Linked DNA regions of Caenorhabditis elegans. The protein of the gene in region 1 interacts with the protein of each later gene in a pairwise test. Each region holds a gene or a part of one and is shown on either strand. Other genes may lie near its edges. The genes, in order: egl-15 and ced-2.

Evidence for each region.
Region 2: the proteins of egl-15 (region 1) and ced-2 interact in a two-hybrid assay, tested with the Caenorhabditis elegans proteins (one study listed by BioGRID).

What each region holds. Positions count from the first base shown.
Region 1 is NC_003284.9:11,012,595-11,025,962, reverse strand, and holds egl-15 (receptor protein-tyrosine kinase), read right to left. Parts: upstream 9,564-13,368; 5' UTR 9,523-9,563; coding exon 9,435-9,522; intron 9,382-9,434; coding exon 9,320-9,381; intron 9,273-9,319; coding exon 9,111-9,272; intron 8,528-9,110; coding exon 8,458-8,527; intron 8,384-8,457; coding exon 8,033-8,383; intron 8,019-8,032; coding exon of another isoform or gene 7,824-8,018; intron 7,749-7,823; coding exon 7,513-7,748; intron 7,439-7,512; coding exon 7,199-7,438; intron 7,151-7,198; coding exon 6,989-7,150; intron 6,943-6,988; coding exon 6,835-6,942; intron 6,786-6,834; coding exon 6,349-6,785; intron 6,281-6,348; coding exon 6,202-6,280; intron 6,147-6,201; coding exon 5,853-6,146; intron 5,677-5,852; coding exon 5,480-5,676; intron 5,430-5,479; coding exon 5,346-5,429; intron 4,814-5,345; coding exon 4,709-4,813; intron 4,655-4,708; coding exon 4,492-4,654; intron 4,447-4,491; coding exon 4,333-4,446; intron 4,241-4,332; coding exon 4,114-4,240; coding exon of another isoform or gene 4,070-4,113; and 13 more. Other genes in the region: F58A3.3 (RHDF1), read right to left, coding at 11,551-11,627, 11,671-11,770, 12,287-12,482, 12,530-12,601, 12,659-12,765, 12,827-12,949, 13,000-13,152, 13,215-13,301. UniProt on the Caenorhabditis elegans protein: Receptor tyrosine kinase required for larval development. May phosphorylate adapter protein soc-1 which in turn may result in the recruitment and/or activation of phosphatase ptp-2.
Region 2 is NC_003282.8:1,592,282-1,604,539, reverse strand, and holds ced-2 (Cell death abnormality protein 2), read right to left. Parts: upstream 7,223-12,258; 5' UTR 7,221-7,222; coding exon 6,782-7,220; intron 4,363-6,781; coding exon 4,160-4,362; intron 3,369-4,159; coding exon 3,171-3,368; 3' UTR 2,919-3,170; downstream 1-2,918. Other genes in the region: putative histone-lysine N-methyltransferase set-23, read right to left, coding at 954-1,552; npp-8 (Nucleoporin_N domain-containing protein), read left to right, coding at 8,735-8,969, 9,029-9,125, 9,172-9,373, 10,586-11,143. UniProt on the Caenorhabditis elegans protein: Required for cell migration and engulfment of cell corpses but not for programmed cell death/apoptosis. Has a role in the migration of the 2 gonadal distal tip cells (DTCs).

The DNA.
Region 1 (13,368 bases):
TCCTCGAGAAGCCCGAATATAAAAAGAGAAATCGAAGGAGGGGGTGTAATTATTACGGGGGCACAAGGTGGAGAGCGCTTGTTGTGCATATGTGTTTCGTGACATGTAAAAATATGACTGGCTCCGGTAATTGCTCTGGGATCGCCAAATCTGAGCAGTGCGGGTAACCTGAAGCAGAGCAGGAAACCAAAAAAAAAAGTGCACTGACTAGTCATTCGAGATTTTTCAAATGTATAGAAAAATGGAAACATGGATTAATATCAGGAAAGGATGTGGGTTAAGCTTACATATAGAATAAAAATATATCAAATCATTTTTCGACTAGACTGAATAGAATAAAAATGATGTAATACAAATTCAATAGTTGATATTTTGTTTACAAACCAACTTGAAATTAAAAAAAAGCATGCCAAAAAGCGAATTGCTACGCGGTCGTATTCATCGAAAAATGGAATAGTCTAAAACAGAAAGACCAAAACCATAGTGTAAAATAGTTTTCGCGCGATCATTCCCATTTGGTTTTGTTGATGAGGTAGTTTAGAAACGGACGCCAGAGCAATTAATTAAAAGAAACAGGTTAATTGTGGGGCATTGATAAAATGTGATGTTTCAGTGACAACAGATTTGTTAAATGATTTTGCTTAAAACATTAGACGCTGATATTAATTGTTATTTGACCAAAACTGATTTTACTTTCAAAATTGAAGAGTTTTCAAATTTAGAAACAAACATTGCAGAAAATAAATAAATCAATCAAATCTAGTTTTGTTAAAGAAAAAAACTAATTTAGATCACTACAAAGAATTGAGAAGTATCTGAACCAAAATGTGAAGAATGGTGAGTAACGTGCGTTTGCTGCTCAGGCTTACCATTCCCACCATTTCTCATCAACAAAAGGTCACTCATGCACTGTTTGAGTGGAACCCGCAGAAAATGGGACGGACCGCCGACGCGCGAGTTATTAGAGCATACATACACACAACCACATACACATCTGGGTGGTAAAGAGAGATGGAATGAGATTGAGATAGATATTGAAGAGAGGAAAGAGTTGAGACACTACTCGTTTACATATGGAAACGAAAAAAGGAAAGAGCAAGTGGCTTGGGTGGTTCTAGTGGTTGTGGTGGCTCGTCTTTTCTTTTCGTTTTTTTTTTTTTGAAATTTCAGGAAAAAAGATGGAGGAAAAGGGTTCAAGAGCGGAGGAAGCGGGTCGAAAGGTTTTGGCAGTTTTGGCATCTGGCATTCAGTGCTGGTGCTGCTCTTTTTCTTTTTTGTGGAAACAGGAATTTGAGACAAAAGTGTCTCTTCCTAATATTCCCCGCTCAGTGGATGAATAATGAATAAACGTGAGAAAATAGCGTATTGGAAGAAAACCCATTGTGATGAGGATGACAAAAGACTTTGTAGTCTGCAAAAAACGTGAATTTGATTGAGAAAATTTGTAAGAACGAGCCATACAAGACAGTTTCTGAACCAGTTCCAAAAACTATCTCTTTCAAAAAATGTTCAAATGGGATACTGTTATGTCGTGGTAGGTTACCGAAAAGTTAATTGATGAAGGTAAAAAACAAGAAACAAAACAAAAAAAACAAAATAAGAGGATTTGAGGTGTCTCCCCGCTCTCATCAACAGAGGTCAGTCAATCAATGCAGTTGGAGGAGACGACGGTAGTCGATTTGAATTAGGCCGTGCATATCCGCCCCTCTCTTCGCGGTTTTTTCGTTGAGCAGAAGATACGTGTGTGTATGTGTGTGTGTGTGTCAAGGAGGAAAATGGGTACACATGGCCCTCCGGCCATATGCGTAGTATGTCTCTGGAATGTGTTCTCTGAGTTTTCTCTGTTCTGATATCATAATAGAATTGATATTGGGTAAAATCTAGCAAATGCAAAAAATAACTGTTCTTTTTTGTTCACCATATGAATACTCAAACAAGAAAAACAGTGACATATTTGAACTGCTATTCGTATCAAAGTTATGAGCCAGTCATCTTTTTGTGATAGTTTTCTCGAACAGAACAACAGTACCTGGCTTTTAAAGATTTTTATATCTCATTTAATTTTCAAAGCAAATGTCTCGCAAAATTTTTAAATGTTAGATTCACCTGAAAGGATGGTCTATCGGGAACTTGTACTTTGGTCGTGAGCATATTAAATTGACATAAACAGCGAACATTTTGATCAAAATATTGCTTATTCCTGGAAATGAATAATAATAAGTCTGCTTGTGAACCTCTGACAAAACTTCTACACTTCAAAGGCAGCGTAAGTTGATAGCACCTTTCGAAACAATGGTTCTAAATATTGAACAATACTTCTTCGAATATATCATAGAACTAGCAGAAAAAACATGTTTTTTTAGTGTAAAATTAAATAAAAAGCGGTTACTAAGTAATCCTGTCTTATTCATAAAAGACATGTAAATTCTATTGCAGGTATCGGAGGTTTCTGTTTCAATTTAATTTAGATTTCAGCATGAGCACCTGCTGCGTTCGAAGTTTTGCATTGCTATAAGATTATATACTCAACAACTATTAAAATTCTGTAACACAATTAGTTTTATTCAAGACTATATGTTTTATTGTGAATTTTTCAATTGAATTTCAAAGCGCACATAAAATAAAAACATTATAGACAACAAAAAACAAACGCTCTGTAAAAACAATTATTAAGTGTATCAATTTAAACATGAATGAAAACTGAGCATAAGTGTGGAGAAGGAAAAGTAAAGCAGAAATCTGGTCAAAAATGACTAGATCATAGCAAGCAGCAAACAAAGAAAAGAGGACGAAAAAAGTAGTCAAAAACGAAGTTAGACAATAGTTTCCTTTGTCGGCAACGGGTTGCGAGGCGTCCTGAAAAGAAGAAGTTCGCTGAACTCTGTAGTAGTGTTTTCATGCCAGAATTGGCACTCACATGTTCTTTTTGATTATGATTTTCGAGTAGAGTGGATGTGACTGGATATAGTTAGGATGATATGATTCCTCGAATATTGCAGAATCTCTTGATCTAAAAGTAAAAGAACAACTTCAGTTTTATAATTGTTTTTATTGACACATTTTATTTCGGATTTTGGTTAATTTTTACGCTTTTCTATGATCATTTAAGAACTGTTTCAGTAACTGGTAAACAATAATTTTCCTAAAATTATGCAAAAGAGGGTGATAATTGGGCCGCTCCTACACGTACAAGTTCTAAAGATAAACATTTTGAAGTGTTTCTTCTCTTTTAGAAATTAAAACGTTAGCTTTTTAATTTTTAGGTTTAGAACTAATTGTGATGGAATTAATGTGTGAAAAATTATTCAAGTTCTAGTTGAATTCGAGATTTTGAAAGATCAACATTTTTGAACTAATAGTAAGTGTGACTGTATCATATTTATCAACTTAAATTTCAGGTTTTATTTTAATGTAAAGTTTTTAAACAATAAAAAAACTCTATTGGCTGTTTTTATCTAGCAAGTTTGTTTACTAATTATTAAAATTTGTTTCGATACTTGCCTAGTCATACAATCTGGATCATCGAAGGTAAAATGAAGATATTGAATTTTAGACGTTGTATTATAATACTGGTGAGTTTGATCTGCAAATGAAACTTTAAAGGTTACATAGCACAACATTTATAAGTGTCATGTTAGTCTGGACACTTGACGGAGGCAAATCTGTAAGCTAACTTATGTGATTTGATGTTCTGCAACCCATTACACCAAACAAAAATGTTACAGGACAAAAACACACAACACGGAAACATGATTACCACAATGGACTTTTAAATGACATCTGATAACGGCGGAGAGACTACTATGAGTAATAGTAGTGATGCTTCTCATCATCTATAAATTCATTGAAATCGTTGCCCTGAACTTAAATGTCAGTAGCGAACTGAAAACGAACCTAAACAAGAAGCTTTGTTAGAGGGACGGTCGTACGAAGGCCAAGCTGGTGAACCGAGGGCAGAGTCGAGAGATTGGTTGGCAACACCGCTGACGGCACGAGCTAATTTATCTTGTCGAACATACCCGTTTCCGATTGGTTCGTTGAGCACTTTGTGGATGTACACTAAAAACGGTCAAAATTCGGGTTTGCTCATGCTATTGTTGTTTGATGGAATACGTTGAGAGGTTTCCGGTGTAATAATGTGATTTTTCAGCATATTGTCATTGCAGTAGAGATGATTCGGATCATTGGGTGGTTCTACAGAAAAATTGGACTCATAGTCGTCGCAAATTGTGTGTTGTGGCTGCAAAAACAGTGCTTTATGGATTCCGAATTCATAGGTTAAATTCTTTTAAAATTTAAATACGTTATGTACGAAATTACGTTTTGATCTACCTCTGATGGAAGATTCACTGGAGCTGAAAGAGGGCGATGTTTTCTCTTTTTCTGGAATGACTCCATAGGAGAAACTGGACCTGATGCCGTGGATCTTTCGGAGAAAAATTGATCCTGGAAAATATCCTCAAAAATGTTGTCACAGATGTATGACCTTACATTAAATTCTTGTGATCCCTCAATAGTCTCATTTGTCATTGTTAACATCCAATCCAAATAATCTACGATTGTTTTAAAAGATGGTCGTTCTTCCAATTTTTCTCTCCAGCAGCTGCACATCAAATGGTAGACTTCTTGGGGACATAAATGTGGTGGCTCCATTCTGCAAAAACATGTCAGACAGGTGAGATTTGCATGTTTTTCTCAATATTTTCACCTGTATCCTTCTTTGAGGTTAGCATAGAGTTCAGGCATGGCAATCGTTGGATAGGGAGTTCCACCAAGTGTCATGATTTCCCAAAGGAGAACTCCATATGACCATCTACAAAAGTATCAATGAGTCATTATAGTATTAATTTTGGTACACAACCACTGTCGTGCCCTAAAATTGCCCCAAAAAATGTAAATGGAAAACTGAAATAAAAGCGTGCCAAGAAAAATGGTGAATGCATTGTTCACAGAGTGATAGTTTTGGAAGCAATAGTATTTTTTTTTTTTGATATTCAAATTTGAATAATATATTTTTTGTTAAATTAAATTGTCGTTCAATAGTTTTTTATAACTATTTTTCCACAGGCGGGAAACAACTTCAATTCAGACATATCACAAATATATTTATGTTTAATGTTTTTCCCTAAATTAAAATCCTAAAACGTTGTATCCTAAAAACCCAAAATAAGTAAAATAAATATACAGCTATCCCGATTCAGATGCTCAGGTTGACTCAGGATGATTAACTTGTGTGAAAAGACAAATAAGACATATGTGATTATATTGAAAAATCAATTTTTTTCAAACGTGAACCTGGAAAGGACCTCCACGAAACTTTTCTACCACAGAAAACCATTACTCACACATCACTTTCCACGGTGTATACATTTGAGTCCAACGCTTCTAAAGCCATCCATTTAATGGGAAGTCTGCCGTTTCCACGTTTTCTGGAAGTAATATATCATCAGTAATATATCATTAGGAATAATGTTACAACCTATAATAATCGTTACAGTGCACATCTCTCGATAGTCCAAAATCCGATATTTTCAGAACGTGTCCATCACCGACGAGAACATTTCTTGCTGCCAAATCACGATGTATGATCTTCTTTGATGCCAAGAAGTTCATTCCTTGAGCCACTTGCCAAGCAAATTGTACAAGATGGCGTTGTGTCAAATTTGGTATGAGCTCCTAAAAATGAAAATTTCAGCAAAATTACTCTGGTAAATTTAAAACTGACTAAGACAGGTTTACTGATAATGAGCAATCAGGAAAACGCTTTTCTACAAGATTTTCAAAGTTTGATGAGTATTTCAAATTTTGTCAGTGGAAAAAATCATATTTTATTCAAAACATAAGCCACTCACAATGTCATCCTTATCAGATGCTTTTCGTGGTTCCAAATAATCCGTCAATTCTTGGCTGGACTTTTTTGCCTTCTCTTCCTTAGGTCTATGTGCTCTCAAGAAATCGCGCAAATTCCCATGCTTGCACAGCTCAACAACGACATAAAGCGGACCAGCGCCTGTACAGCATCCAATCAATCGCAACACGTTCTCATGTTCTCCTATAACTTTGAATGTTTCCATTTCACTGACCAAGTCAATGAGCTCTTTTTCGTGAGCTGACATTTTCAATTTTTTGACAGCAACTGCGATTTCCTGAAACGCAATTAAAATTTCAGATTTTCTTGTTTTTTTGTTTTCCCAAAATTACATTGTTTTCTGTTTCTTTGTATGTTGCTTTCCAAACTTCTCCAAATGCTCCCTCGCCAAGCATGTGAACCAAACTCAATCTAAACGTTGAAATTTAATGTTTAAATTGAATTCTTGTCTGGCTGAATGTATTAAAGATTTGACCCACTTTGATCTTTCAACTTCCCAAACTGGATCCGAATCAACCTCGTATTCCGAAAGAACAGTGTTTTCTGAATTCATACGTTTTCTTTGTTTTCTCGCTGCTTCTTTCTTTGTAATTGGAGTCTCTATTATTTGAATTTGATAAGGTGATGGCTCATCATCCGAATTCTCATTATCTTCATTCATTGGCCTTTTGCTAACTACGACTCTTTTTTTTCTTGCCACTAATCCAACAGTATCATCCATGAATCCTTTTTTGTGTAGTGTTTGTTTGCACACCATAAACAAAATTCCAAATAATGTTGCAGCAAGCAGTAAGAAAAGCAGAATTGTTGTAAATATATAATCGGATGTTGTCCATCTATCTATCTTCGGTTCGTCACCAGTGAGCAAATGTATGGCCATAAACTCATTCACCGTTAAAGTGGCATTCGCCATCGACTGTAAAACTCTTAATTTGTTCAACTAGAAGGTTCAATCAATTTCTTACCATCCCCAGTGAGTTTCCACTGAGACAAGCATATATTCCCTGATCATCCAGCGACACATTGAAAATAGTAAGCGTCGATTCATCACCAACGTGATGGACGTGCGCTTTCTGAAACGACACTTTTTGATAGATGAGAACATGTTTCATAACATACATCAAAAGTGTCCATCTCTGTGTAATTGAACATATACTCTTCAGCTGAATTGTTGTAGTAGCTATACGACCCATTGATTTTGTTGATGCGTACCCAAATAATATGAGGCAATAAGTCAGAGACAACTTTGCAGTGGAATGTGGCAGTGTCATTAATATTTACCTAAATATAAAACATTGAAACTATAGATGCCGTGAGGCAAAATCTTACTGATTGATTAGCCAAAATATTCGGAACGATAATGGGCGGTCTTCTCATTCTGTTGACTATGATCACATGGAAATACTTTTTTGCACTTCCAACTTTGTTCAATGCTTCACAATGAAACTCCCCAGAATCTGCTACGACAGCATCTTCCACTTCTAAAGACCATCTATTGAACTTGAATTCGTATCCGCCGGACCGAGCACTACTTTTCTTCAACATTTTGCCGTTTTTGTACCAGATAATCTGTGATCAAATGCATTGATTGAAAATCCAATGTTTCTTTACGTGAAAAATTTCAAGTTTTTCATGAATCGTACCTGTGGCTCAGGGTATCCTTTTGCGCGACAATTAAGTTTCAATGTTCGTCCTGCTGGTAGAGCATGCGTTTCATTAAACAATACAATGTTGTCGTTTGACTTGAAATATGGTGGCTCTTCCGCAGTAATATTCAGCTCAGTGAGCCCCGCATCTGGAGCAACCGGTTGTGAAACACTATAGTCTTCTTCTTCGTCTTCTTTGTTTTCTTTTTCATCAGCATTGATAAATTCGGTTCCTAAAAACAAGTTTACTGAGATATATAAGAAGAAAATGAAGCATTTAAAATAATTCAACCACTGATGTAGCCTACCCAAAGCATGATTGATCTGTCTTAATCTCAGAATGTGCCTGGCTCGAACAATTTTCTGTTCATTATTCATCTTCTCCCATCCGCCCAATTGGCTTTTCACTCTCCTCATTTCCGCAGGAGGTAGCAATTTTGGCAATAAATGACTAATATCGAATACTCGATGCTCAGTGAGCCAATCGAACAGTTTAAGTGGATCTGAAATAACTTACTGGATTCGGATGGACTTTCTTCAGAGTCATGCACGGGCACAATCACATCATCTTTTTTCAAAACAACACGCTTTACTAAAGGATCGTCCTCGGGTTTCCCAGGTAAACCAAAATCCGAAACAGGAGTAGTGTCAAATTCTTTGCAGTGATCACCAAAGCAAGGAATCATTGGCAACGGTTTTCGTGCTCTATTTATCATGCGAGATGCGTACTTTGAGCAGACTTCTCCTGTTACCGCTGCATAGTTCACATCAGATCGTTTTGCTTCTTTGTTGTATTTCCATAAACAAACACATTCCATCGGAATGTTCAAATGATGAATATCGGGAAACAGGAAGTAATCACAAAAGTCTGAAAACAAAGCACACCATGCATGGAAGAAATTATGCTTGCACTGCAAAGAATCGAGCAATAGAGATACTTACCAATAACTTCAACTGTAAAATTTCGTGATATTTGTCCATATGCGTTGTGTACGCGGCAAGACCAAAGACCCTGCAAAAATATTAGTTTTTAAACGTTTTTAAACGTTTTTAAATAAACGTTTTTTTTTAAGTTGACAGAGTCAAAAACTGCTGAAAAAAGTTCTCAGTTTGTTGGTATTTTTGAATTAATATATATTTTTGATGATGCTTAAAACTCATGGTAGTCGGTTATAGTTTTTTTTCCTATTTTCTTTCATATTATTCTTGCAGAACTAAACACGCGCAAGAGATATCACACAAACTTTAGCATCTACAAGATATTTTTTATTGGTTAAATGTTTTTTTTTAATAATTCCAAACATTTTTCAAACATTAAATCATTTTAATTATCATGTTGTATTGTTTCTTTACGGTATTTTAGGTAACTCCAGTATTTTAGGTTAAAAACAAGAAAAACCAAATTTGAAACGAGACATCGAAATACAGTTTCATAGTGTATGTTAGTCTTGAATTCCTATCAGTCTTTGCACTCTAAATTGTCAATTAAAAAAATAGAAATGCATGCAATTCTAATAGGAGAAATGCGATACTTGGTGTTCTAACCACATTGTTCAACAAAAAAAAAACCACAAAAATAATAAAAAATCATATACCTGATCTGAAACATCAATATTCTTCAAGTGAAGCATCATCCTGTTATTATCTTTCCGAATTTTGTCTTTATCTATTTGATCATTTTTGAGTAACTTGTCATTACGATACCATTCGACAAAGGCAGAAATCTTTGACGCCGCGGTTTGACAGTCAAATTTTATCTAAAACTGTGTACATCTATTGCTGTTAAATATTTGTTCCACCAAACCTCATCTCCAAGAAATACTTCGTATCTTTCGTTTGCTACATGCTTGAAACGGGGAATATTTTCTGTAAAATCGAATAATATGAAAATAAATTAGATTTTGTGACAACTCTCTTACCTCTGTAATGACTGGTCAATCCTTGAAGAGAACAAGAAACTGTAGAAAGTAAGCCCACACCGAGGCAGGATGCAAGGAAATAACTCATGATGATATGTATCAGGCAAACATTCGAATTTCTGCAATCTTTTGTATCTACTATTTATCTACTAATAATCAAAATATTAAAACACTCAGAAGGAGAAGCTGTGAAACTTTTGAAATTGAATACATGTGAGAGAGGTGAATCAGACCGGTACAAAGATTTATTTGTTGGGTTCTTACTGGTACCTCTGCGCGAGCCATGGGTTATATATTACTGGCTCCATACCCCACCACCATATGTAACAAATTGGCGACACCCGCGCAACGTTTTCAAAAGTTCCGACCCTCTGGGTCATAAGGTCTAATGATCTCTGGGAACAATCAAGAAACTAAAGCAAATCATAATTAGAACCGTCTAAATTTACGCATATGTTGCTCATAGAAAAAAAAAACGAGCAGCGAGCGGAGGGCGATAATAAAAAGAGTAAAAAGTGAACGAGCGTCAAATTGAGACGACGAAAGACGTCCAGATGTTAAGATGTTGTGGATTCGTTGTCTTCGCCGACAAGGTGGAATGACACAATGCCGTTTCGATTGATATCGAAGCAAAACCTTGAATAAGAAGTCACATCTGGAGGTGTTTCTTCCGGATGCAGTGCATATGTTACGGAAACAAAAACCTTTCAACATTTCCGGACACAATGTAACTTTTTATTGCTAGTCTTGCAGTATGATATAGCGAATAAAGTGGGTCTATCTTTTCAATGATCACGGCTATGTTATAGAGTTATGTAATTTTTTTAGAGCAATTTGAGGTTTTATAAAAACTCGTTATGTATAATAAAAACAAATTTTAGCAGCTGATGTAAGCGTAATAACGCTATGGTAACTTTTCAAAACCAACGTCATACATTGCATATAAAATAGTTTAAATTAGATCAAATTTGAGATTATAAGGCTAGTTTTCAAAATAATGAGATACTTCTTTAGTGAAACATTCTATCTAAATATTCCTAAAAAAATAAAAAGAAAATGTTCATAAAAAACTTAGGTTGTGATTAATGATTAGAACATTTAGTTATAAACCAGCTTTTTGATTATTGAAGTGTAATTTAATCTGTGCGATTTCTAGGCACTTTTTTGTAGAAGTTATGTATTATAAAATTGTAATTTCAAAACTTAATAGTTGCACAACAGGGTGTGACCAACATTCCAAGAGATGCTTATCGCGGATACGAGATGGTTAGTTGCGAGTCTAATTAATTCAAATGTCACATCATTTACTCAATTTTAACAGGTAGGTGAATGGATTTCTTGTTTCAATTTTGTCATTAAACCAGTTTGTTGCCCCCAAGAATTCCATTAGAAAAGAGTGATAAGAAAAAGAGAAGGGGGCATTACAATCATGAGACGGTAACCGACAACATAGGCGTCGGTTTTTTGTTGCTGTGGGTCTTATTTTTTGGAGTATTTGGTATGTGTCTACAGGCTAATCAATATAGAAAAATGCAATCAGAAAGTGAGAGAAAATCAAGGGAATTAGAAAAAGAAGGAGAGATAAACGAGAATGGACAATGATGAGAAAAGAGATGCGTTAAAAAGAAAAGGGGTTAGTGATTGGGCATTGCGCATAAGGCAGTCAGTCGCCAAAAATGATAGAACACGGGATAATTGTAGGCGACATATTTAGATGCAAAAGCTAATTCAATTTCGGTTTTTCTTTATTTACGCGCACCTGTTTGTGTTGCATTCCTTTATAAATCTCGAACGCGAAAAGTTATTGTAAATGAGTCATTTTGACAGTGTGCAGGTGAACAACATGTGGTCAATATGAAAATAGATATCAGAATGCAATTAAATGCGAAAGGTCGAAGAAGTAAGCGGGTCTACCGAGAATTGGCTGCGTATCATATATCACGCGCAGTGGAACGGCACCACCTCATTCAATGTCACGAGGAGGACAAAACAAGTAACAAATGATTTAACGCCGTAAATCTCTTCTATTTATTAAAGCAATCTAAAATTGAATGAAAACAATGAAATGGATACAATAAAGCTTACAATTATCATTAAACGATATGTGTGGCAACTGTTAATTCAGGCAGTCAAGCCACAATTTTCCGTCGTCCCGTAATGTACCAGCCATATCAACTTGGAAGAACAGAACTCCTAAATACAGAATTGCAACACGAATGTTTAATAAACCAAATACCTTGACCAATAAGATTGAACTGCCGTGTATATCCATGATGAAATTTGCATCCTTTTCGAATAGCCACATGAACTAGCCATTTACCATGACCACACCCAATCTAAAACGGTATCAAGCATAATTTGTTTATAATAGTGTATGTGCTAAAAAACGTCAATCGTTGATGTGTTATTTATGAATTATAAAGTAGCAAATCGAAAATTTTTAAATCATGTAAAATTGATTATTTCGCACAAGCAGGTAATTATGTGCCTACACGCATTTTAAATTAATAACAGTTTTTATTTGCGATACGTGGTATAGTTTTAATCTTGAAACAAATCTTCACTAAACGCAATAAATTAAAATTTGAGTTGGAAAGTTAAAAAAAAAACAATGCAAAATTTTTTTTAATTCTGTCGATTGATTGAAGTTTTTTTGCATATTTCGAAAAACTTATTGAAACACATGTTTTTACAACACAAAATGTATTTCATTAAATTTCACTGTTTCACAACTCTAATTATTATTTGAATAATTTAAAACATAATTTTAATAATAGGTATGTAATATGGGTCAGCTTCTAAAGTCAGCTTTGTTCACACTACAAAAACTCATTTTCTAAGCGGTAGCTCACATTTGATGGTGTAAAACTGGTGTATGCAATATTGTTGGGATATATGTATCCACTGGATTCACCATTTGGAGCTTGTACTTTAATCACTATATCGGATTTCACTTGTGTTTTGAATGCAAACTCGACTTGAGAAGCTTGAAGTGGACAGAAAAGTTGTTCTTTGGCGTGATGATCTGCACCAAACGTTTGATGGTACCTTTTAAAAAATCATTAGACAACAGTTGGATGTCTTTTGAAAGTTACCTCCTTTTACGTTCAAAACTGGAAAGAAGTGTCTTTTTCTGATTTGGAGGTTTTTCGATTCGGGGAAAGAATCTGAAAAATAAAGTTTCTATATTGATTTTCAAAATATGATTATGTAAATTTTCGTACTTGGTTAACAGACACGTACTAGACGGAGGAATAGGCCTTACGCTTGTGAAGATTTTATCTTCGGAGTGTGTTTTTATAACTTCGTAATGCTTCGTGGAGCATCGACTCTGAAATTTGCAATTATTGTTGTCAAAGTGAAATTTTAATATTCTTAGAACGAAAACTCACAAGTCGTACAGATTCGTTTCTGTTGAATCTTTGAATATGAACATCTTGTTCAGATTTTGGTAAATATTCAGTAACCGGTGCAACGCCAATTCCAAATATTTTTCGAGTTCTCCGTAGGCTATTCTTAAAATATGATTTTTTTTCACATTGTCACCTTTTAAAATTAAATTAACCTGAAAGCTTATTGTCATTGCTTTTCGAATACTTCCCATTCTCGAAACTCTTTGCATTGGTGGGGGTGGTAATTGTAATTCTTGAAGTTCCTCGTCCTCTTCTTGTTCCTCATGATAAATAAACTCAGTTTCTGGCGGTGGACTGGTTAAACTCTAAAAAATGATTTTTGAACGTCGTTCAGAATTTAACAATAAATAAATTAAAATTAACCTACAACAATAAACTTTCGGAAACTGCCTTTTCGAGACGTTCTTCTAAGAAGAGGTTTTGGTTCTTCGAAGGCATCTTCTTCATTTCCCATTGTTTGATAGATATTGTTCTTAAAATAAGCAAATTATAAATTAAAATCACATTATGGACAAAGATCT
Region 2 (12,258 bases), on another chromosome or scaffold:
ATTTACAAAAAATACCTGTTTCAAACAAAAAAACCGAATAAGGAATAATACATTCCGTAAAAATTGTGTCTTTTTCGAGGTTTTTTTCCCGAAATTTTCCCTAAAAAACTCTAAAAATACGTCAACAACGGCACTGCAACTTTTTCCTCACGAGGGACGAGGAAAAGTGGTTTCTAGGCCATGGCCGAGGGGCCGACAAGTTTCAGCGGCCATTTATCTTGCTTTGTTTTCCGCCTGTTTTCTTTTGTTTTTCATCGATTTTTTTCGTTTTTTCTTAATAAAACTGATAAATAAATATTTTTTGCAGATGCTAAAACAATTTCCAAGTAAAAAAATCATGTATTCAGTGGGCAAGCAGCGGTGAAAGTGGGCAATGCAATATGATGGATTACGGGAATACAAAACCTAAACTTTTTCTGAAACATGATACATATGCTGCTTAGATGCTGAAGCTACCTGATTTTCATATCGAGACCGCTGAAAAAGTTTTGAGGTTTCCAAAATTCAACTTTTTTGGTAAAAAAGTAGAGATTTTCGCACAAAAAGTTGAATTTTGAAAACCTCAAAACTTTTTCAGCGGTCTCGTTATGAAAATCAGGTAATTTCAGCATTTAAGCAACATATGTATCCTGTTTCAGAAAAAGTTTGGGTTTAGTATTCCCGTAATCCATCATATTGCATTGACCACTTTCACCGCTGCTTGCCCACTGAATACATAATTTTTTCACTTGGAAATTCTTTTAGCATCTGCAAAAAATATTTATTTATCAGTTTTAATAAGAAAAAACGGGAAAAAGCTGTGAAAAACAAAAGAAAACAGGCGGAAAACAAAGCAAGATAAATGGCCGCTGAAACTTGTCGGCCCCTCGGCCATGGCCTAGAAACCACTTTTCCTCATCCCTCGTGAGGAAAAAGTTGCAGTGAATACGTCACCAACGGCTTAAAAAAATCACCGTTTCGCAAAAATCCCCGCCGCGGGAATCATTCTGCCAAGGCGAGCCAAAATAATCTCACAATTCGGCTCACAGCTATGATTTAAAAACCGTCCGATATTTCCACGTAGGCGCGGGTCTACGAACGTTTTCACGGGTTTTCCACCGAAAAACTCCTTCAACGTAAGCGTATAATTATCGTCTCCTCGGAATTCTCGACATCTCCGTTCAACTTCTTGCTCGCCAATACATTCCCCAGCGTATTCGCACACAAATTCGCCGGCGGCTATCTGCTCGCCGGCTCGAACTCCGAATCCTTTTGCCATCTCACAAGTGCTGAAAATTTCCAGCTTTTTCTGTGGTCCACATTGCACAACTCGATTCCTACATGAAGTTGGGAGCAGTATGCAGGCACATTGATCGGAGCACTCGATTAGAAGCTCCGATGATTTATTGATTTTTCCATCGACAGTGTAATTATCGATTTTATTGATTAGACACGAGCAACCGGCGGCTGAAGAGCACTCAGCCTCGCAGTTACATCCTTCGAATACGTCATTCCAGTCGGTTTCAGAGATTCCTGGCCCGGGAATTGTGCTATCAATTTTCTCATAATTCATTATCTGAAATTTGAAATTTTTGTAAGTTTTTAGGCGGAAAAACAAAAAACTATCAGAAAATTGTCGAAATTCGAGAGAAAATCCATTTTTCAACATTTTTCCACGAAAAAAATCCGGATTTTTTCGCATTTTTAGGCGGAATCTCAGACGAAATTCGGAAAATTGTAATTTTTTTTGCCTCAAAAATTCGAATTTCTAGGCGAAATCTGCGAAAAAATGTTGGTTTTTTTTTTCACAAAAACCGTTTTTAACTAAAAAATTCACAAGAATTTATAGCAATTTCAAAGAAAAATCGAGAAAAATACGCCGAGCTTTCAAATTTTTTTTGTGATTTTTTCATACAAAATCGGATTTTTTTCTTGCAATTGAATGGAAATCTTGAAGAAAATTGTTCAAAACTCTGAAAAAAAAACTATAAATTATCTGAATTTCTAAAAAATTAAGAATTTTAGTGAAAAAATTCGGAATTTATCACATTTTTAGGCGGAATCTGTAACAAAATTATCGAAATTCGGGAGAAAATCCAGTTTTTAACATTTTTCTACTGAAATCCAAAAAAAAAAATCAAATTTTTCACATTTCTAGGCGGGATCTCAGACGAAATTCGGAAAATTATATTTTTTGCCCCAAAAATTCGAATTTCTAGGCGAAATCTGCGAGAAAATGGTTCAAATTTGGGGAAAATCTTTCAGCTTTAAGAGGAAACGGCGGGTTTTCAATAGAAATCTGAGAAAAAATCGGCAAAATTCGATAATGTGGCTTTAAAATCTAAATTTTCTGAAATTTTATTTTAAAAAACTGCACTAAACCGTTAAAAATCGTTTATAATTTAATTTTTCAGTTAATTTTCCCGTTTTTAAGTGAAAAATAGCTTGAAAAAGGTTTAAATTCGACAGAAAACAGAGTTTCTCCAAAAAAAAAACACCGCGTAAATCGACACAAGTTTAAAGGCGCAGTATGGAGAGTGAAAGGGTCTCGCAACGATGGCCCGGGGTATTTGAATTTTTCATAAAATAAAAGTTTTTTTCGTGAAAAAATGGCAAATTTGATCAAAATTTGTTGTTTTTTCGTGAAAAACAGTCGAAGTTCAGAGAAACTTTCCATTTTCCAGTTGAAAATAGAAAAAATTGACCGTTTTTTAGCCTGAAAAACCAGAATTTATTGCAATTTCAGAGAAAATTCGAAAAAAAAAGGCCGAAAATTCACCAAAATACGTCGAAAAATCGGATTTTTTTGCAATTTGCTGGAAATCTTCAAGTAAATTTTCAAAACTTTGAAAAAAACTCCAAAATTATGACATTTTTTTCTTAAAAAGTACTCTCAGAGGCTCTATAGCACCTCATTTTCCAACAAAAATTCGAAAAAATCATAATTAAAACGGTTTATTAATCATCCGGCAGGTTGAAAGGGAAAAGTGAACAAAATGGAATGGACACGAATTGGGGTTCGGTGGGCGGAAAAGGCAACGAAAATTGTGCATGATATCATTATAAATATAATTTGGAAAAAAAAACGATTTTTTTCTATGGTAAAGCTGTAATGTATTAGAGGAAAACTGGTGGAGGGGCAAGCGAATCAATAAATTTCAAGGTTAAAAATTTAGAAAAAAAAAACGATTTTATTCGCTGACGGCGGTGAATCTGAGGTATGTATGAGGCACCGAGCCAATTTGGCCGTCGAGTTCCGCTTTGTACATTCCGTTGGACATTTTCTGAGTTACAAGCACTGTTTGCCCCTTTTTCACACGCAATTGGGTCGGATCGTAGGCGTTTGGGACACGATCGAACGTCACTTTGGCTTTTGCTGGCAGACGGGGCTGAAATATTGAATTTTTTTTTCGGTTTAGGAGATGTTTTTCATGATAAAAATCGTTAATAATTTCATTTTTCAGTTAATTTTGCAGATTTTAGGTGGAAAATAACTTGAAAACGGCCTGAAAATAGAGTTTCTCCGAAAAAAAACACCGCGTAAATCGACACAAGTTTAAAGGCGCAGTAGGGTTGGTGGAAGGGTCTCGCAGCGATGAGCCGGATTTTTAAATTTTTTGAGAAAAAAAAAAAGTTTTTTTAAGTAAAAAGGTCAAAATTGATCGAAATTATTCGTTTTTTTTTGACAAAAACAGCCGAAATTCACTGAAATTTGACATTTTCCAACTAGAATTAATAAAAAATCATTGAATATTCATTAGAAAGATGGAAATTGACTGAAATTTCGCATTTTCCAATAGAAAAATCTAAAAATTGGTGTTTTCCGTGAAAAAATGTCAAAGTTGCCTGAAATGCTTCGTTTATTCTTGGAATATGGTCGAAATATTAGGAAATTTTCGATTTTTCCACTAGAAATGTTAAAAATTGACTGAAATTTCCATTTTTTTTTCAGTGAAAATTTCAAAATATGACCGAATTTTCACTAAAAACGGTAAAAATTGAGCAAATTTTTAAAGAGAAATTTCAGATCCAACTTTCCCATTAAAATTCTGTAATTTACAAGGAAAATCGTCTCGAAATTCGAAATTTTCCCATCGAAAAATGTCAAAAATTGACTAAAAAACGCAATTTTTCAGCAAAAAATCTGAAATTTGTGGATTTTTCCGGCAATTTTCCACACCTGGAGCTCAATATTATCACTGCTCGTGCTGGCGCTCGAAAATCGTTCGGCGCCACCTCCGCTGCTTCCGATCGACGATTGACTGGCGCCTTTTGAGGTTCTGTCATTGTGAAATTCCATCTGAATTTGTACATAGTTTGCCGGCACTAATCCAGTGGTTCCCAACGCGTTTCTCGCCTCCCACCAATCCTGGTTCGTTTTTGCTGGAAAAAAAAAATTATTAAAAATCTAGTATTTTCGAGGAAAATTACCGAAAAAAACTTGGAAAATGCACAAAATCTTGAGAAAAACGGGAGAAAATCAAAAAACACGGTTTTTTTTTCAAATTTTATGGTTTTTACAGGTAAAATTTCGTATTTCCATTATAAAATTCGTTTATAATTTTATTTTTCAGATAATTTTGCGGTTTTAAGTGAAAAATTGCCTTAAAAACAGTTTAAATTCGTCCGAAAATAGAGTTTCTCCAAAAAAAAACACCGCGTAAATCGACACAAGTTTAAAGGCGCAGTGGGGTGGGTGGACAGGGTCTCACAACGATGAGTCCGGGTTTTTGAATTTTTTCATAAAATAAAAGTTTTTTTCGTGAAAAAATGGCAAAATTGATCGAATTTTGTTGTTTTTTCGTGAAAAACAGTCGAAATTCGCAGAAACTTTCCATTTTCCAGTTGAAAATAGTAAAAATGACTGAAATTTCTTGTTTTCATTAGGAAAATAGTCATAATGCACTGAATTTCGCATTTTTCTACTAAACCGGGTTAAAATTAGGCGAATTTTGTAGAAAATCGCATTTTTCCATTGAAAAACGTAAATTTTTAACATTTTTGCGGCTTTTTGGATTAAAAAAATGTGGAAATTTACCAAAAGTTTCTGGTTTTCTTGAAAAACAGTCAAAATTTACCATTTTCCAATAAAAACAGGAGAAAATGGGTGGAAATTTACTGAAAATTGCTCATTTTCTCACTAACATGGTAACAATCGGAAATTTAAATTTGCCCATCGAAAACGTCAAAAATTAACTAAAAATCTCGATTTTTCGGCGATTTTAATTGAGAAATGGCTTGAGAAAGTGGTAAAATTTGGCAAAACTTGGTTTTTAATAGTTTTTTTTTTGCATTTGGCTTCAATTTCCCCGAATTTTCAGATTTTTTAATCGAAAAAGTGCTCTTAAAGCTCACAAAGAATCTCGAGCCGCTAAATCAGTGGATTTTCGGGGATTTCACGAGAAAACTCATTTCTCGTAGTTTAAATGGCATTTTCCGAACCTTTGGTCTTTCTTCTCTAAGAAGTGCTCGAGATTCCAGAAATTGATTTTTTTTCCAGAAAAAAACGTTATAATTGTGAGGAAATCGACATTTTTTCTTGCATTTGGCACTATTTTCTCCGTATTTTTAGATTATTTAAAGGTGGACTACGCTCAGTGGGGAAATTGCTTTAAAACACGCCTATGGGGTCACAATGACAGAATATCATGATTAAAAAATTCAAAATTTTTTTTTATGATTTTAAATGATTTTTTGAAAATTGAAAAAATCTCAGTTTTCACCTAATTCCTATTTGAATTTCCGCCAATTGAACTCGTTCGTTGGAGCGCGCTTGCATTATTTTCATTAATTAATTCTATTTCTTCTCATTATTGGACTGATTTTCTTCATTTTTTGTGGTTTTTCATCGGAAAATCGAAGAAAACAACAAGAAAAATGCAAAATGATTTTTTAAAAGTAACTGAAAATGCGTAAAACTGTAAAATATACTAATTTCAGGCTTGTCGTTGTCAGAACTCAAGAAATCACAGTTTTAGAAAATTTCAGTTAATTTTTAACAAACAATTTGCATTTTTCTTGTTTATTTCTCTTCCATTTTCCGATGAAAAACTCCAAAAAATGAAGAAAATCAGTCCAATAATGAGAAGAAATAAAATTTTGAAAATTAATGAAAATAATGCAAGCGCGCTCCATTGAAAAAATCCAATTGGCGGAAATTCAAAAATAATTAGGTGAAAACTGAGATTTTTTTTCAATTTTCAAAAAATCATATAAAATCAGGGAAATTTTTTTGAATTTTTTAATCATGATATTCTGTCATTGTGGCCCCATAGGCGTGTTTTAAAGCAATTTCCCCACTGGGTCCGCCTTTAAAAAATCTAAAAATTCGGAGAAAATAGTGCCAAATGCAAGAAAAAATGTCGATTTCCTCACAATTATAACGTTTTTTCTGGAAAAAAAATCAATTTCTGGAATCTCGAGCACTTCTTAGAGAAGAAAGAACAAAGGTTCGGAAAATGCCATTTAAACTACTAGAAATGTCAATTTTCTCGTGAAATCCCCGAAAAATCCACTGATTTAGCGGCTCGAGATTCTTTGTGAGCTTTAAGAGCACTTTTTCGATTAAAAAATCTGAAAATTCGGGGAAATTGAAGCCAAATGCAAAAAAAAAACTATTAAAAACCAAGTTTTGCCAAATTTTACCACTTTCTCAAGCCATTTCTCAATTAAAATCGCCGAAAAATTGAGATTTTTAGTTAATTTTTGACGTTTTCGATGGGCAAATTTAAATTTCAATAAAGCAAGTTCCCCACAGGGTTTAGTCCACCTTTAATCAAAAAAGTGCTGCTTTAAAGCTCACAAAGAATCTCGAGCCGCTCTCCTTGCTCAAACGGAAGATCTGTCTCTCGTTCCCCTGTGAATTTGAATGTTCCGACGACAACCTCAATGATAGGCTTCTTGTAGGCGGCCAGCAGGCTTGCCTCAGTCAAAACTCGCATTTTAAAATGATTCAACAACGCCGGAATGTCTGGAAACGACTGATTCGCGATTTTCACGCCAGCTGCAGCAGTTCCATCTTCTTTCGGTTCTCCTCTTTCAATCAAATAATGACAAACGGCATTTCCCTCGTCGGCTTCACGTACTGTCAGTGAATATTCACCGGGGCGTGAGCTATCCCGCATTAGGAAGGTGCCGATCGATACTTGTGGCTCGCCGAGCAACTTGTGAGCCTCTTCACGGCTCATTCCTGGGAAGTAGAATGAACGCCACTCGAATGGATCGAACCCGTTTGTCGTCATTTCTGAAAATGCGGGAAATTGTTTAGAAACGTGGAATTTTTAGGCGCGCAAAATTGGTCAAAGTTGGGAAAATTTTCTGGAAAACGTAACCCAAATAGACGGAAAATCATCAAAAATCACGAGAAATTCCTAAAAATCCAGAAAAAAAAGACGAAAAATCAAGAAAAATTATATAAAAGGGGAAAGTTTTTTCGGCTGAAAAATGCTTAAAATCTTGTTTTTGAGAGCGAAAATTTATGAAAATCGGCCAAAAATCACCATCTTTGAGAAGAAAACGCAAAAATCTTCAAAAAAAAAATCAAGAATTTCGTGGGAAAAAATATTTTAAAATGAATAAAAATATGATTTTCAACCTAAACATTGCTGAAAATGTGAAAAAACGGGTGAAAATTCGATTTTTTAAAGGAAAACGAGTCAATATAGGCAGAAAATTGGATGAAAAAGTTGGAAATTGAATAATAATTAGCGTGATTTTCCAAGAAAATCAAGGAATTTCCATTTAAAAAATTCAGGAAATGAACAAAAATGGATGTTTTTTTGGCTGAAAAAATGCTGAAAATCAGTTAAAAATCGGCCAAAACTTGCGTGGAAAAATCAAAAAATCAGGAATTTCGTTGGAAAAGTACCTTAAAATGGCAAAAAATAAGATTTTAAAGAAAGAAATTGCTGAAAATCGTGGTTTTGGCACAGAAAATCTAGTAATTCTAGTGAAAATTTCTGAAAAATAAATGAACATTGGAGAAAATGGTACTTTTAGGAAGAAAAATCGATTGGACACAGTGAAAATTTTCAAATTTTGGTAGGAAATGGCGAGTTTTAGGGAAAAAGAGGGCAAAATAGTTGAGTTTTTCGGCTAAATTATGGGAAAAATGAAGAATTTTTTTGAAAAACTGTGTTAAAAAATTGGAAAACATGGCGAAATCGAGAATTTCGAGCAGAATAAGCAGGTTTTTAGGCTAAAGTTCGGTTTTTAGTAGAAGAAAATTGAAAAATACGCTTAAAACCTTTATTTTCGAATATATTTCATACTAAATTTACCGATTTCTTGTTTTTATACGCATTGAAACACCAATTATTCGTAAAAATGAGGAAATTGATGAGCAATTTTCCCAGGCAATGACTCATAAGCTTCTTGTCGACTGGAGCCAAAGTTTACACATTTTAAATACGTATTTTACGATGCGCAACCGCAAAAAATCAAGAAAATCTCCGAAAACTGGTGAGAAATTGCAAACAAACGACTTTTTTTGCACGCAAAAATAAATTGTCAGCTGTTGCGCTTGTCCGAGAGGAGTACACGATGAGGTGTGCGGGGGACTTGCAACACGCGACCCCGCCCACTTTTCCGCGCCGCATTGCAATTTGAATTCGGAATTTTGCGCGAAAAGTTGCGTTTTGCGGGAAGTTTTCCGGGTTTTTTACAGTTTTTTGCTATAATTTTCAAGTTTAAAGGTTAAAATATCAAAAATCACTCAAAATTTTCCGACTTTTTCAGCAGCTTTCCATCCTCCGAGATGAGTGTCTCGTTTATGGAGTTGGGCTCGGCCGACTCGGCAGAAGCGGCGGCGAACAAGGTGGCACACCACGTCGAGCAGATGATGGAGACATCGGATTTCTTCGATCGCCTCACACAACACGGCACGACGCCCGTCTCCGGTCTCGGCGAGAAGTTTTATGTGAAGGGAGCGCCGGAGTTTGTGAGCACACGGCGAATCCCAATACCCGGAGAGCTTCAAATGCAAATGAGCAGTGAGAGAGCATTGTTTCCGATGGGGGGGTTTTTCAGCGAAAAATTGGTGAATTTTCAGATATTCACAGCGAGTTTAGCATGGGATTCTTCACACAAATCAGCCGAGTTTGGGTCGTCATTGATAACAATCTCTATATGTGGAATTACGAGACAAAGTAAGCGGAAAAGCCGAAAAATACCGAAAAAAAATCGAATTTTCAGCGACGATTTGGCGTTTTTCGACTCATCAGACGCTGCAATTCTGAAGGTGTCGCTGGTGAACATCAAGCCAGGCGTTTTTGAGCCGGAAATTCAATATGGGCTCGTTGTCGGCACAATTTCCGATATATGTCTTTATCCGGTCTTTGATTTCGTGGAAAATGGCGCCAGTAGCATTTCTATCGACTCAAAACGATGCTTCAAGGTTCGAAATTCGAGTGAAAATGGAGAAAAAAGAAGGAAGAATTACCAAGAAAACCCAAGTTTTTGAATCAAAAATCGCAAAAGTTTGGAGATTTTGAGTCTTCAAAACACGGGAAAATCGATGTTCCGTGCGATTTTTACTTAAAAATCGACAAAAAAAATTTAAACAACGGGATTTTTCGTCTATTTCTAGCTCAAATTTGCTGATAACGCTTTTCTGTTTTTTTTTCTACTCGAAAACTTGAAAATCCGAGTTTCTGACTAATTTTTTGAGTCTTCAAAGCAATTTTACATCAAAAATGCTCATTTCAAACCAAAAATTGGGGATTTCGATAATCTTCAATTTTTATTCGTTTTTTTTAGAACAATTTGTCGTTGAAAACGCTCATTTCAAGCCGAATTTTCGAAAATATGTGTTGTTTTATGCGAAAATCTCCAATTTTTCATTTATTTTCCGATAAAAAAAGCTCATTTTAAGCCTAAATTTTCCCAAAAATTGAGCTTTTCAACAATTTCTCTAGAAAATCGCAAATTTCCATTAAAAAGCTCAATTTTTTTTGCGAGAATTTTTCAAAAATGAGCTAAAATTTCGAAAATAACAGTAATTTTCGACGAGAAACTTCAATATAACACAAAAACGGTATTTTCAAGCCAAATTTTTTTCTAAAAAATTTAAAATTTTGAAAATAAACACAGTTTTTTGCGGAAATCTTCAATTTTTCATTAATTTTTCTGAAAAAAAAGCTCATTTTAAGCCAAAATTTTCCTTAAAAATCTGAAATTTCCAGCACTTTACTATAATTCCAGTACATAAAAACGCTCCTTTTAAGTCTATTTTTTTTCTAAAATTGAGCTCAAATTTTATTTTTTCACATAATTTCCAGAAAAATCTTCCATTTTCAGCAATTTCTCTAGAAAATCGTCAAATTTTTATGTTGTATCTGGCAAATCCCCATTAAAAAGCTCAATTTTAAGCCAAAATTGTTCTGAAATGAGCGAAAATTTTGAAAATATCACTAGTTTTAGACGATACTCTTTATTTTTTTTAAATATATTTTCTGAAAACGAAACCCATTTCAAGCCAAAATTATCATAAAAATCCCCAAATCGTCAATTTTTATATGAATTTCATCGCAATTTTACATTGGAAAACACTCCAAAAATTGAGCTTTTTCAGCAATTTCTCTAGAAAATCCCCAATTTTTTTTTTCAGATAGCCCTTGACGGAGCAACAGTGAATGATATTTCGTATACTTCAAATGGTCGAGTATTCTATACAGCCGACGATCAACTCTTCGAATTCGTCTACGAGAAACAAAACGGATGGTTTGGCTCCACAAATCACAAGTGTCGAGGTGTAAATCAAACTGCATCAATTCTCGGAACACTGATCTCTCTACCATTCTTCGGCTCTTCAAAAGAGCCCCTCGATCAGATTACAATCGATAAATCCCGAAATATCATGTATTTGCTCGGCCGAGCCGGCACCGTCAGTGTCTGGGATCTCGGAGCGGATGGAGCAGCTTGTGCCAAATTTTTGAGTGTTCCCATCTCGAAAATTGCACATGAAGCTCATATTCTGACGCAATTCGGTCACGATGAGACATCTTTTCACAGTATTACATCGATTAAGGCGTTGGAAGCTTCACAATCGGCTGCGCTTAACCTAGTTGCAACTACTGCCAAAGGAGTTCGATTGTACTTTTCAGTGTCGACGGGCCCGCAGTCTACGATGGCTATGTTTAATAATAGTGGAACACCTAATGAAAGAGTTCGTTTTTTAGCCGAAAATTTGGAAAAATCGGGATTTAACAAACAAGAGTAAAAAAAAAGAGTAAAAAAGTTGTATCTAGTTTTTAAACCAATGCTCTCGTCGAAAGTTTTTTACTTTAAAAAAAACCATTAAAAATTAGATATTTTCGAGCTTTCTGGGCAAAAATTGTAAAATTTTCGGCCGAAACCCAGGAAACTGAGCGATTTTTTCAAATTCACTTTTTTTGAAGCTCCAATCAATTTTAGAGCAGAATTTCAAGACTATAAAAAGTTAAAGGTGGAGTACCGAAATTTGAGACTTTCCTTTTTTTAGACCCAAAATAATCCAAAACTACCAAATTTCGTAATGAGACGTTCTGAAAATTTTTCAAAAAAAAAGTTATGGCCGCTCAAAGTTTTCGAAAAAATGGCATATTTTTAGTTAAAGCCCCGAATTTCGGCAACTTCTCGGAGTCGCAGCGGTTGGGGATCTTAATTTTTATTTGATCGTCATCTTTCAATGCATTTTTTGGCATTTTATTACTTGTTATTTCGTTGATTGAGATGGTTTTTTGGCCAATGAGGACGCAAAATTGTATCATATATGCGTCCCTATTGGCCAAAAAACATCTCTGCCAACGAAATTACACGTAATAAAATGCCAAAACGTGCATTAAAGGATGCCAATCAAATAAAAATTAATTAAGTTCTAACCGCTGCAACACCGATAAGTTGCCAAAATTTGAGATTTTAGCTAAAAATAGGCCGTTTTTTCCAAAACTTTGAGCGGCCATAACTTTTTTTTTGAAAAATTTTCAGAACGTCTCTTTACGAAATTTGGTAGTTTTGGGCCATTTTGTGTCTAAAAAAAGGAAAGTCTCAAATTTCGGTACCCCACCTTTAACTTTTTATAGTCTTGAAATTCTGCTCTAAAATTGATTGGAGCTTCAAAAAAAGTGAATTTGAAAAAATCGCTCAGTTTCCTGGGTTTCGGCCGAAAATTTTACAATTTTTGCCCAGAAAGCTCGAAAATATCTAATTTTCAATGGTTTTTTCAAAGTAAAAACCTCTTGACGAGAGCATTGGTTTAAAAACTAGATACAACTTTTTTACTCATTTGAATTAAATTTAGGA